Tamandua tetradactyla: one gene and its partner. The main gene of each other region encodes a partner of the protein of the gene in region 2 in a complex. Links are inferred from orthologs where the notes say so. Each region holds a gene or a part of one and is shown on either strand. Other genes may lie near its edges.

Region 1 (7,091 bases), on a different chromosome or scaffold from region 2:
ATATAAACAGCAATACTATTGTATCTTTGTAAATCCACTTTTTTTCTTTCTACAAGATTGAAAAGCAAATGCATAAAATGTAATGACAAATGGGGCGGGCCACGGTGGCTCAGCAGGTAAGAGTGCTTGCCTGCCATGCCCGAGGACCCAGGTTCGATTCCCGGTGCCTGCCCACGTTAAAAAAAAAATGTAATGACAAATCAAAGCTTTGGTACTCATAATATATGAGAATGTAGTTTGTGATAAGACCTACAAAAAGGGGACAGAAGAGTATGGGAACATAGTTTATGTATGCTATTGAAGTTAAGATGGTATCAACGCAAAAGAGACTGTTACAGATTTAGGACGTTAAATTTAATCCCATTGATAACTACAAAGAAAGTATGAGAATATGCAAACTCACAGAAACAGAAAGTAGTACACAGATTAACAGGGGTGTCAGACAGAAGCAATGGGGAGATACTGTAAAATGAGTGCAGGATTTGTGTTTGTAGTGAAGACAAAGTTATAGTAATGGTTGGTGAAGGTACTGCCCTTTGTGAAGATCATTAATCCCATGGAATGGTACGCTTCAAAGAGGTTGGAATTGGAAGATTATGTTTTACATATGTTCCCACAATTTAAGAAAAATAAAGAATGAAAAAACTAAAAAGGTAACGGCATTTAAATGCAATTATGACACTATATAGGACCTAAAAATGGAGAAAATGCTCAAAAGGGCATTAATGGGACTTAAAAAAGAATTGGAATATAGAATACAAGCATGATATAAATGATAAATTTCTTGAACTTGATAAATTCATTTAAGGTGATTATATAAACAAACACCCTCGTCCTCAGAAAATGTACATGGAAGTACCAAATGTTCAAGGACTATGATACATGCAACCTGCTCTTAAATGTTCAGAAAATATACATAAATAGGTAAAGAAAATGACATGACAAAGGTGGCCAAATGTTAAAATTGGAGGATCTAGGGGCGGGGGTATGCTGGAATTCTTGGAATAGGGTTTGTATTATTGGAATTATTAATAATAAAAAAAGCAGCAATCCATCCACCACCACCCCGCCCCCAAAATGCAAACTTAGTGAAAATAATGGCACCTATCAACCTTTCCTATTTCCTCATATCAAAGTCAGCGCCCAACCAGGGCACTAACCCCCCTAGTATTCTATTATCTTCTTTTCAGGTTCTCATGTGAACTAACTGGAAGATGCCCACAGAGAGACCAGTTTGCCCAAGTAGTCCAGTGCTGAAAATAAACCAAGCAAGGTGTTAGTAAACTTTAGGCAGAGACTTACAAACATTCTTGAGATTTGAACTCAAGATTTCATAACCAAAATGTACTTAAAAGTATCCCTTTAAGAGAAAAGATACTTATATTTAACATTTTTCAATATTCAAACCAAGAAACCTTGGTTTCTTTGTTAAGAAACCAACAAACCCACCCTTGGATAGATGAGTGGGTATATATCTGCTTTTCAACTGGTAAGTTCAACACCTTCACCCGTTTTCCCCCTAGGCACAGTAAGGTTCATCAATAAAATTTATTACACCAAAATGCTATGGACTTCTCAAGAAAGGAGACAAGCTACTTACTGAAGAGCTAAAATGAAATGCTCTATACTATGCCTTTCTACTAAAACAACGGAGAGCTGAAATGAAATGCTTTATACTATGCCCTTCGAAGGGGTGGGACTACACCATTTTCCAGTTGCAGTGTGAGAGAATGGAAAAGAACAGAAATCAAAATTATTTAATCATCCTCATGAACAGTGCACCAAATACAATTCTGATTTTTAAGTGTGGTTAGTCACTGAGGAGAAGCACATCCACCTTTGGATTCCTGAGGGAGCAAGTTCCACAAGTTAATTCACCATTCAATTAAACCTGAGTTTTTATTTGCTCTTAAATCAAACTCTTTAAAATTAAGCCTAAAGGCTCAAATGAACATAAAGCGGGGTATTAGGTAGTTTTAGAGGTCTCTGATAGAGGAAAAACTTTAAACTTGATGGGAGTGTCCAGGCTTAGTAAGTCCTTAAGGCCCGGCACTGCTTGGAACCACTGCCAAGTTTGCTGGAAGTGATTCCTTAGCTGATGGACGAATACCACGATGCTCCTGATAACTCCTTACCTGATTAAACTCCTCGTCAGCGTATATATCAATCAAGTCCACCCCTTCAGACATGGCTTCGGAAGGAAGATCTCGAGTGCAGAGAACCGACGAAGTAAAAAAGATGACACTGCGATATCCAGAAAAGAGTAAGAGTTAGAAAGAGGGTCCTGAGCTGGAAGGAGGGCGAGGGTTGCCACCCTCCCGTCTCTAGAGATGCAGCATCCCGGCAGCCAAGGCTCGCCCCCCTCCCGCCCCGCCCCCGGCCTCGCGCCGCCCCCCTCCCGTCCCCCCCACCCCGCCCCGCTCTCCCAGGCCACCGGGCTCGCGGGGCGAGCTGCCCATCACCCTCGGGCCTGGCTCGAACTGCGTCGCAGCCGTCTATGGCGCGACGGGAAAGTCGAGGCCTCAGCTGCTAAGGGCCCTCCGGCTGCGCTGCGAAGGACGACTACGACGAAGCCCTCAGCCCCGGCCCGCCGAACCTGCCTAAGCCCCGGGGTGGCCCCGACCAGAGCCCCTGCGGGACCGGGAGCTCCGCCCGGATCCGCACCGCCTCCAGCCGCCTCGTTTCCCCATCCGGGCCGAGTCCTCGCCCACCAGGCTAGGCCCGCCCAGCTCCCTCCCCACAGACCGGGCCCGGCGTCCTCGGCCACCTCCCTTAAAGCCCCGCGCCTCCCTCCGCCCTCCAACTGCTGACGCCCCAGGCTCAACCGACCCCCTCCCCGCCTCAGCGCCGGCCCCGACCCCTCTTCCGGCCCCGCCGGCCCGTGGCCGCGCGCCCCCGTTACCGGGAATATGGCGGCGGCGAGTCCGGACTAGGCCCGAAGCGCGCGAACCGCTCTCAGCCTCAGGCCCCGCCCTCACCGCCGCCTGCGTCACACGCATTGCCACTTCCGCTATTCGCAGGGACGCGTCTTCCGGCTCAGACCCTCGCGCTGAAGTCCTCGGGTCCTGCTACCCGGGCATTCCCGGAAGTAGCTGGGCTGAAGGCTTCTGGTGCTGTTCGGGGAAAATGGCAGTGGTCACGGTATTCCCGACTCTGGCGCGGGTGAGAGAGAATAGTAAGGTTCCAGGGTCCCGGGCAGGAGGCAGCGTTGGCTGAGTCTCGTCTTGTGCTGCAGTCATAGAGACCGCCGGGAAGGCTCAGCTGCTGGAGAGCCGAGGGCAAGGGCAGGCCAAGGGCAGGCCGATCCTGCAGCTCAGGAGATTCGGGTCGCTTCCAACCTTTCGTGAGCCCATTTTGTGCCTGTTCCGTGATATCGTTGCATGATCAGTCGTGGTGCGGGACCCAATGCAGGTGTCACCTACTTCCCGGGCAAATTAAGCCGTACCGCCTCTTGTGATTCCTCCCTGTTCTGAAGCCTCTGATATCTGTTGTGATTTCTGATCGTGTTTTGATGGTTTTGTGCTACTCTCTAGATTGAGAGCCTTTAGGGGGGAGGGGTTAGGACAATGTCATTTCTGTATCCTCACCTTTTAACGCAGGCGAGAGACTGGAAAACAAACCTTAATTGTAGTAATTTTAAGGGAATGTAAAGAAAGGAGACAATATTTCTGCTAGGAGAATCTCCTGTAGGGTACCCGTTAAGAACAGATGCTTGCGGTTAAGACTAGATTTCCGTTACTGTTTGGGTGAAGTTGAGTAAGTTATTTAACCTTTTTGAGCCTTGGTTTCCTTGGCTGTTAAATGACATCTAAAGCATTTAACACCTAGTAAGTATCGAGTGAGTGACAGTGATGGTAGTCGTTTTTATTATAAAGATGTTTACGATTTATTTGTTTCAGATGCTTGCTCTGTCAGGTCGCAGCCCAGTGTCTCCTTTGGTCAGGGTGACATCATTCAGACGCTTCTACAGAGGTGACAGCCCAGCAGATTCTCAAAAAGACATGATTGAAATTCCCTTGCCTCCGTGGCAGGAGCGAACTGATGAGTCCATAGAAACCAAAAGAGCCCGCCTACTCTATGAAAGCAGAAAGAGGGGAATGTTGGAAAACTGTATTCTCCTTAGGTAGGGGAATTAGAGTCTTGGTGTCATTTCTCTTTGACCAGAGACAGCTTTTTTTTAACTCCTTTCTCTTTCTCATTTTAGCCTCTTTGCTAAAGAATATCTGCACCAAATGACAGAAAAACAGCTGAACCTCTATGATCGCCTGATTAATGAGCCCAGTAATGACTGGGATATTTACTACTGGGCCACAGGTACTGGGCGTGACAAGCAGCACAAAGTGGAAGTAGGATGACTTGGGTGATACAAGTCCAGAATTGTATCCTAGGCTTTTTTTTTTTTTTCGTGGCAGTGGACACACATCCCAGACACTCTTAAAATTTTCCCAAAGTTTGTAAGTTTCAAGGGTTCCTTGTTTGCAAGTTGCAGAAACTCATTCTGTCTAACTTATGCAAAAAAGTAATTTGGTGAAAGGGTATATGGAAAACTCACAGCATCAAAGGGAAGGCTAAGGAAAAACTAGGCTGGGTATGGACTGGATCTAGATAACTCTATTTCTGCAGAGCAAGAATTCCTCAGTAGTTTCCCCCCTAGCACTGCCTTTGCTGGGAATGAATTCTAGTTGTGCATGTTTAGGATTAGTTTTGGTTATGAGTAAAAACCAATAGTGGCCTAAACAGGATGGAAAGAATTATATTTTGCTTTCTCATAATAGAAGTCCAAAACTCATAGAGGGGCTTCCAAAAGTCTTGTGGTCCAGGTTTCTTTTGAGTTGCTGTTCTTCCATCCTCAGCATGTGTCCTTTACCTCACGATTCCAGATGGCTACTAAAGCTCTGCCAGTTATGTCCATATTACAGCCAAGAGAAAAGAGTAAAGAACAGCATATCCCCTTCTTTGTAGATACTTCTCAGAAAGTTGTACATTGTATTTCCACTCATTTTCCATAAGCTACACCAGCCATAAAGGAAAAATAATATGGTATTCTGGGGCCATGTGCTTAGCTAAATTGAAGGTTCTCTTATCAAGGAAAAAGGGGATGATGGATATAATAGCTCATTCGTTTCTGCCATGCTCCTTCGGTCTCACGTTTTTATGTCTCCACTCATATTTGTATCAGGAAACAGAAGCCAATTTACAGGTTCCAAGCATGAAAAGTGGTAATTCAGGCTTTTACAACAATTGGAAGTCTGGAAGAGTGATGGTCTACCAATAATTATTGACCATCTCAGCCTGCAGCAACAGTGGGTAGTTCTTAAGAGTTGGTCCAGAAGTTGCTGTAAATCTCAAGTGCCTGTATTTTGGAACTTTGACTGCAGGAACAAAATAAGTGGGTTTCAAAGACCTACCCAGAAGGTGCTTTAACCTCATGTCAGTCCACTTATCTGTCTATACCTCTGTCCAGAGAGCATTGGCCTGACCTCTTTCACCTTGCAAATCTCACATGACTGCTTCTCGTTGGCAGACTGTAATATGGAATCATGTAGGAAGAGGATTTTGTTTCACATAATCCCCTAGCTTCCTTAGAAAGATTGTGGAGAAGGTCTAGTTGATGAGATGATTCAGCCCGAGATAAAACTCCCTGAAGAGAAAGTCCATTTGGTTGAGTTTAAGGCATATGTTTTCCTCTTAGCCCTTCCACTGCAGTAAGCAGAAGGATCTAGAGAAAGATGCTTGCAGGGACCTTGCAGCTTAGGTAACACAAATACAGTCATGTGGATTTACCTTCTTACCAGGTCTATATGCTTTGGGAAGGGCTGTTTCCCTATACAAAGGAACCTGAATGCTATAAAGAAATGGAAAGTGTTGGTTGGTAGGATAGCTAGCACATTAGGTGTTTTTAACTCTTCTAGGCAATAGTTTCCTGAAAAGTAGGGCTTCTGGAGGACTGTCATAAAATTCGAGTATATTAGTTGTGCTGTATGATCAGGCTCGGGTCACAGTTGAAACTTTGTCTTTCTGGACACAGTTGGCTAAGTATGAGAAGAAATCACTTTCCTTCCATTTGTCAAGAGTGTCTAGAAAATCATAACAGTACTCCTCATACTAGAAGAGGTATTGCATGTTCTTCAAGGCACCACAGAAAGGGAATCAGTTAATAGCAGACAACCTTTCTGGTTATGATGTAAAGATTTGACTCTTTGGGACTGACAGCATCCATTACCCCTTCCCGATAGCCCAGGAATTTATATATTTATATTACTTTTTTTTTGTATGAATATGTTATTTTTTTATTTTTATTTTTTTAATACCAAAAAACAAACATAAACATTCTAACTTTTGATCATTCCGTTCTACATATATATTTATATTACATTTTATCGTCAAGTTTATTGAGGTGTAATTTACATACAGTAGTAGCCACCTTTTTAAAAAAATTTTTTATTAATTTTTAAATTTTTTTTAAAAATGACAAAAAAGAAACACAAACATTCTTAACATATGATCATTCCATTCTACATATATAATCAGTAATTCACATCATCACATAGTTGCATATTCATCATCATGATCATTTCTTAGAATATTTGCATCAATTCAGAAAAAGAAATAAAAAGACAACAGAAAAAGAAATAAAAAGAGAACAGAAAAAAATTCATATATACCATACCCCTTACCCCTCCCTTTCATTGATCACTAGCATTTCAAACTAAATTTAACATTTGTTCCTCCTGTTACTTATTTTTATTCCATTTATGTTCTACTCATCTGTTGACAAGGTAGATAAAAGGAGCATCAGACACAAGGTTTTCATAATCACGCAGTCACATTATGAAAGCTGTATCATTATACAATCATCAAGAAACATGGCTACTGGAACACAGCTCTACATTTTCAGGCAGTTCCCTCCAGCCTCGCCATTACATCTTGATATTCACCTTTTTTTACTATACAGTTATCTGGCAAATGCTTATAGTTGAACAACTACCAACAAAGTCAAGGAATAAAATGATACCTTCACCTCAAAAGTTCCCTTGTACCCCTTTGTAGTTATTCCTTTCATCACACCCAGTCTCATAGTCACTGATTTG
Region 2 (6,978 bases):
AAAACAAAACACTAATCAAATCAGAAATTCTATTAATTATGGATGACAATGGTAAATCTGTATGCTTTTTAATAAACTGAGCCAGCACTTTGCATCAGCACCTCCCAAGTTCTTTCCTATTTCTCCCAGTCATATATCCTCAGACTTTTCTGGCACCACAATCCTTTCTCCCCAGATCAACTTTTCTAAATTCCTTTCCCCATCCTAAACCTTTTTAGCTTTAAAGTTTTCTACATTTATTCTATTTCGTATTTTTATTCTTCCCTTCTCATTTCTATCTTCTGTCTATCATATTTAATCTGAATATCCTATCTTCCTTTATCAAAAATTTAAAGTATGGCTCATAGTGTTGGATACAGTTTTCACATTGTCTAGTAAAGTTCAAATTTTACTTAAAAATAGTGGAAAATACCATTCATATTTTATCACATAATAATATGCAATACAAGCCTAAACACCTTATAATTCCTTGATTATAAGCCTTACACCAAATTTTAAGTTATGAAGAATTATTTGGCCACACTTGCTCAAGCTATCTTGATAGATAGACCTTCTATCTAAAGGTCTTGACCTTAAAGTCAACTTCTGCTTACCTAATCACTCAGTTTTTCTAGAAAGAACAAGTCATGTTGCCAAAACTAAAAAAAAAAAAAAAATTAATTCCAGAAGCCAAATTCTAGGCATAAAGAAAGCAGTTTTAAATATCAACTAAATTTTACTATTTCCAGTGTGCTTCAAGAACTTCCCCAATAGCCCAACCCTGAATAAGACTGTCATCACCGTGGGTTCAGTAACTGCTGCTATTTCATACAGCACTACGTAACAGCCAATTGTTTAAGACTATATTTTTATATATTAACATTTAGTTCTCACAACCAGAAATTAGAAAGGGTTAAGGATAGCCATAACACATCTCCATTCAAGACCCAGCTCCAGCATTAGTAAGGAGATGTCAACAAGATGAAAATTCAGAATTTTCAGCTGTGAAACCAGAATGTCAGCCCAATCACATACATACTATCCCCATCATACTGTGAGCTTCTCCTAAAGAAGGTCATCTTACTTCCTCACCACTTTACACCCAGCACCATGCAGTGTCTGGGAGAAAACAGGCATTCATGTAACATCTACCAAAAGAAATTATATGGGCAGTGGGGGATATGGGGGGCGCCTTGTTTTCAAATTAATAAATCATTACTCATCCAGGTGAACTGAGCTCATAGCAAGATGACAGTTTCTGAATGCTCTATATAGGAGAGGGAAAGTGCTGTAAATCTATCAACTCATAACCTTAATGCAGCAAAGATTAAAATATTTTAATCTTTTAAAAATTACACAACCATCTTTCCAAGCTAAAGTGTTAAAAATTCTACCATGGCTTGAAACAAATTGACTCATTCCTCAAAGAAAATGAAGGGAAACACGTGGGTCCCAGTTCTCATTATTTACTGAATACAATCCAGGGCTGTGCTTTAACATTTTTAAAAGAACATTTGTGCCTTTTCCATTATGATAATTTTTAAAAAGTGATATGAAATTTAAATGCTACATACATGTAACAGGTGCAGAGTCAATACATAATTATCGGCTAATTACAGCTACTGTTATAAACATTTCAGCTTTATTATCTTAATTTCCAAACCAGCACACACTTTCGCAAACAAAATAGCAATCATAGCCATCTTTTCAATTTCAAATTGTTTTTGGTTTTAAGGGGTGAAAGTTCATTTATTTGAATAAAAAACAATGAACACCAACATCAGTAAATCCCTTTACTTTTTAAACAGTAACCAGTATAAACTGAACACACTCTTCCATTAGGGTTAGAATCACACTGCCTTAAAAACAAAGGCTCAGAATGACGAAAATAAAAAAGCATACGATCAATTTCTTGAGCAAGACACACCCCAAATGCAAACTATCTGCCACAGCAAGATTGCTTTTGAGTGACCTTGAAACATAATGGCTTTAAGTGCTTAAACAGAAAAAGGTGTTGAAGTAAAACACAGCCCACAGTGGGTGGCTCTCTGCCAGGTCCCTATATCTTGCCTGGTCCCCTCCACTGTCTGAAAACCCCACCTCAACAGCATCGACCCTCCCAAGCTGGGCCTACTGTGTGCCTCGATGCGGTCGCTGAGGCAGAGAAGCCATGAGCAGCCGAATGAAATGAATGAAACGAAATGCGATGTATTAATAAGCTGAAATACTATACAGCAGTTAGGAAAAAAACAGACCTACGCATTATAGCTAGATCTCGAAAGCTTACCGTTGGAGAAAAGCAAAAATTGCAAAAACGATGCAACAGAGTAATGCTCATATCAAACACCCAAAACAATATAATTCACGTGCTGTGAAAACATAAGCATTGCACCGGAAGGATAAATATACCAGTTGGATATCCCTCGGGAGGAAGAGTTAAAAGCAAAGTTCGATTTTACCTATAATGTTTTATTTACCTTACCGAAGCAAAAAAAACATATAACTGAATAGAAAGGGATGAGAACGAGCCTTCTTTTTGGAAAAGCACTCTCAAATAGAGCAAGAAGGGTAGGCCTGTAGGAGCGAAGAAGGCGCGCACTCGCGAGCAGCAGTGGGGGTGGGAAGGCGTGGAGCCAGCCGACCCGCCGGGGGCGCGCCGGAAGGACACAACTGGAGTCTTTAGGGACACTCACAAAGAGGGGGATACCCGCGAAGACCGTGCGTAAAGACCAGGCCGCACTTACAGGTTGATGGTGCGCTCCAGCGTGAGGGGCTTGGTCTGCTGGATGTACTTGTTGCCGAACTGGTTGACCCCCCGGGGCCAGCCGGTCTGCGAGCGATTGGGCGGCACCACCGACATGCTGGCGAGGACGGACACTGCCTGAGAGCAGAAAGGGGGAGGAAGGGAAGACTTTCCCCGTGCAGGTAGCGATTATCTGGGTCCCCTCAGCAGCCGCCACCCGCCATTAACGTGAGAGCGCAAGAGAAGGCTTAAGCACACCGGAAGTACATCCGGAGCCTCTGGTGGCGGGAAGTAGAGAGCCCAGGCAGAGCGCCATTGGGCCAATCGCTGACGTGACGGCCGCAATATCTGGCGCTCCCATTGGCATAGCAAGAATAGGTCCCGCCTCCTTCTACGGATGGCGCTTGGGAACACGGGAAAGAGGGCGTTCTGGGATTTGTAGTCTCCGTAGGGAAGAGTCGCCTGCTGTGTGTAGAGTAGGTGTACCCACCGTGTGGAGATGAGTGGAAAACGGCCCGCGGAACTCGGCCCTGGGCGGGCGGGGAAAAAGGGAAAGAAAGAGGTGGTGGCAGAGTTTTCGGACGCCGTCATGGAGGAAGCCTTGAAGAGGCAGGTGGCTGAGGCCTGGAGCCGCAGGGCACCTTTAGTTCACGGTAATCGGGTGCTGTGAGGGAGGAGCCGCAGCGAAAGGGCCTGGAGCCGCTGAAAAGTCCAGGAACTCGAGCCGAGTCTGGGCAGCGCGGCCTCAAGGGAAGAGGCTGTTAGGGGGAGGATGACTATGGCCACCTTCTATTCTTCTGCCTCGCCTGCAGCCCCCTTTTATTCCAAAGATCGGTTTGACTTTAGACACTTCAGAAGAGAAGAAAGAAACGTAGGCCGAAAAGTAGAAGGCATGCAAATTCGTAGTTGAATTCTGGTATGAGAGTTTCCAGAGTTAAAATCCTCCCCACTGATGGCACGTAGTTGGGTAATTTATTTAACTTTTAATGCTGTTTATCTCGGAAAGTTGTCGAATGGGGTTGATGAACTACTAAATGCATGCATTTATCAATAAGTATTTCCATGATTAAGGACCAGTAAATTTTTGAATAAGTGTTTGAGAGGCGTATATATTTCCTCCAGGGTAAGCTCGTCCCATGATAATTTAACCAGGGCATTTGTTGTGAGTTGCCTGAGAGCTGGATCTGAGTTTACTCGCTTTTCCATGCCTATAGTGTGACGATATGATCTATGAGAATAAACGTGTGTTGATCAAGGGAAGGAACTACACTGAACAATACCTGCCTCAGTTCAAATGTCACGTTATAGAACAAAAAGTTCTGCTTAATGCCTCATCCTTCCCTTCTGTAGTCTGCCGTGATTTTTGTTTTAGTTGTAAAGTGCTTTAAAGTGAGTCCCGGGTGCTCTGGATGCACGTAAAATGGGATAGCTGAGTATTTAACGTGCAAGCTCTGCACACTCAGTGACATCTCTGTCTCCTGTACTTCTAGGGGCTGAGGGGTGTGGGGTTGTGTGGTCCGGGAACAAGATGGAAAAGAAATTGCCAGCCAACATTGCTACTATCATTTTTTATTTACTATTCTCACTTAAGTTTTGGGGGGAAATGAATTATGAATTTTATCTAAAATACATTCAATTCAATGGACAATCATTGAGCAAAATATTTTAAAAAGAGCAGGACCTTAGTTTTAGTGACAACACATATAATCATTAAGGAGCAATATTTTAAGCCCAGAATCTTTAAAAAGTATCATTGACTAGATAAAGAAAAAAAAGGAAAGAGCTTATAATTTCTTCCCACAAATCTTAGATTTTAGATACTAGGTTCCCCAAAAGTCATGACCATCACTTTTTTATTCTCTCTGCGATGCTTCTAGAGGCAAAAATACAAAAGGACAAAAAGCCATAGATATGTTTTCGTTCAACAGAAGCCATTGTAATGGACAAGGACCCCTTTCTTCACTGCGTGATCCCAAACTTCATCCAAAGCCAAGACTTCTTGGAAGGGCTTCAGAAGGAACTTTTGAACTTGGACTTCCATGAAAAGTATAATGATTTATATAAGTTCCAGCAGGTATTTATGCCCAGTGCATTAGCTTTCCCACCTAAGAAATTCATTATCTATAAAATCATCCTATATCTTTAGACTAGGGATTTTAGATTGGGTTTGCCTTTGAGGGTCCTCACCTTAACATTGCCAAAAACATTCCTCCATTTAATATAAACGTACTGAGTGTATAACTGTGTGATGTGCAGTTTGATAGTTCCTGCCTTGTAAGGTTAAAACTAAAATAATAGAGGTAATAGAAACAGAGATAGTCAAGAAATACATTAATCCAATAATTAAGTACATTATAAATGAAGGGGTTAAATAGCACTTGCTAGTGGTTCAGTGGTAGAATGCTTGCCTGCCATGTGGGAGACAGGGTTCGATTCCCAGCCTATATACTCCTACCCTACCAAAAAAAAAGGAGAGGGGTGGGAAGTACTATTCATGACCCTGAATCCACATGGGTATGTGGTGAATCTCTGCTCTGCTGGGAATAAATTTTTCTGTACTTGCTTTTAGACTCCATCCTAAGACAGTAAACATAAAACCTGTTTCCTTAAACCTTGCTTGAACCTCTTTTTCTTTGCTTGAGTTATGGCATGATTTGGTAATTGGGTCTATGACATCTTCCATCCCCCCTCACCAAATTTGTCATTAGGAGTTGCCCAAATTCTATATTTTTAAAAACAAGTCTTACTAAGTACCATGCTAAATGCTTTGTATTTATTAATTCATTTAATCCTCATAACAGTCCTATAAACGATATACATTACTATCCCTGTTTTATAGATGAGGAAACTCATCTATAAAACATCAGTTTTTCTTTCTCTTCTGAATCATTCACTTTAACATACAAAAAAAAGCTGTTCTCGTTTTAAAGGGAAAAAAGCTTTTGACCTAACTTTCCTCTTCTGTTAATACCCTATATTCTTTTTGCTCCCCTTGACAGTAAAGCTTCTTATAAAAGTTGCCTGTATTGTCTCCTCTCATTCTCTATTAAGCCTGCTTTAGTCAGGCTTTCACTTCTGCCAATCCATTGAAACTCCACTTGTCAAGGCCATTCAGACCCTACACATTAGCCAATTATCAGTTTCAATCCTTGTCTTACTTGACCCATCAGCTCCATTTGAGCAACTTATCACTTCTATCTCCTGAAGACACTACTTGCAGGATGCTATGTTTGGCTTTCCTTCTGCCTCATTGCCCATTCCTTCAGTTTCCTTTTGTAGGTGTTCTTCTCATATCTGACTTCTTAATGATGCAGTACTATAAAACATAGCCCTTGGGCCACAGACTCCCATGGTGTCTCATGGCTTTGCCTCTCCTCTTTAATGTCTAATAAATATCTCACACTTAAATCCAAAACTCCTGATCTTCTCCTCCTAAATCTGCCCCACCTGCTGTTTTCCCCATTTCAGTTAATGGCCACTAATCTTCCCAGTTGCTCAAGCCAAAGCCAGAATCTTTGAGGTCATCCTTGATTCCTTTTTCACATCTCTTATCCCATCTTTTAGAAAATTCTGCTGGCTCTTCCTTCAAATTATGTCCAGAAAAAAACATTTCTTATCCGATGCCAACCTAAAACATGGCCGAAGCTATCTTGGTCCCTCACTAGGATTATTCTACTAGTGTATTAACCAGTCTCCTTGCTTCTATCCTTGCCTACTACAGAGCTACAGTTGTCATCTTGTTTTGAAATGAAAACAGGCCCACGAGAATTGAAAACATGTTCACACAAAAATTTGGACAAGAATATTCATAGAAGTATTATTCATAATAGCCAAAAAGTAGAAACAACCCAAATGTTCTTCAGTTGATAAATGAGTAAATAATATGGTATATTCATGCAATGTACTATTTCTCAGCCATCAAAAGGAATGAAGTACTGATGCATTCTCTACAACATGGATGAACTTTGAAAACTTTAGCTAAGAGAAAGAAGCCAAACACAAAAAGTTACAAATAATATGATACCATTTATATGAAACACACAAAATAGACGTATCTGTGGAGAAGAAAAGTAGGTTGGTGGTCATCTAGAGTTGGGGGAATAATGAAAATATTCTTCAAGTAAATAGTGGTAATAATTGCATACATTTTGAATATACTAAAAACCACTAAATTAAAATGGCAAACTTTATGTTATATGAATTTTATCTCAGTTAATATAAATGGATCACTTCATTTCTCTGCTCAGAAACTCCAA

The links. Proteins that work in one complex are often made in the same cells at the same time.
Region 1: the proteins of NUDT21 (region 2) and CPSF7 are in contact, whole or in part, in a crystal structure (PDB 3N9U), measured with the Homo sapiens proteins. The link is inferred for Tamandua tetradactyla from reciprocal best matches to the Homo sapiens genes NUDT21 and CPSF7. Residues at the interface, in NP_008937.1 of Homo sapiens: Arg68, Asn152, Glu154, Pro156, Tyr158, Tyr160, Pro162, Ala163, His164, Ile165, Thr166, Lys167; in NP_001129512.1 of Homo sapiens: Trp91, Trp92, Thr93, Thr94, Asp95, Gln96, Glu112, Lys114, Phe115, Glu117, Asn118, Arg119, Ala120, Asn121, Gly122, Gln123, Ser124.

The regions. Positions count from the first base shown.
Region 1 is NC_135335.1:13,709,759-13,716,849, reverse strand, and holds the start of CPSF7 (cleavage and polyadenylation specificity factor subunit 7), read right to left. Parts: upstream 3,023-7,091; 5' UTR 2,903-3,022; exon of another isoform or gene 2,830-2,902; intron 2,702-2,829; exon of another isoform or gene 2,597-2,701; intron 2,245-2,596; 5' UTR 2,190-2,244; coding exon 2,136-2,189; intron 1-2,135. Other genes in the region: SDHAF2 (succinate dehydrogenase assembly factor 2, mitochondrial), read left to right, coding at 3,127-3,162, 3,900-4,123, 4,205-4,314.
Region 2 is NC_135342.1:50,146,582-50,153,559, forward strand, and holds the start of NUDT21 (cleavage and polyadenylation specificity factor subunit 5), read right to left. Parts: upstream 3,018-6,978; 5' UTR 2,840-3,017; coding exon 2,724-2,839; intron 1-2,723. Other genes in the region: prolyl 3-hydroxylase OGFOD1, read left to right, coding at 3,222-3,375, 4,651-4,796. UniProt on the Homo sapiens protein: Component of the cleavage factor Im (CFIm) complex that functions as an activator of the pre-mRNA 3'-end cleavage and polyadenylation processing required for the maturation of pre-mRNA into functional mRNAs.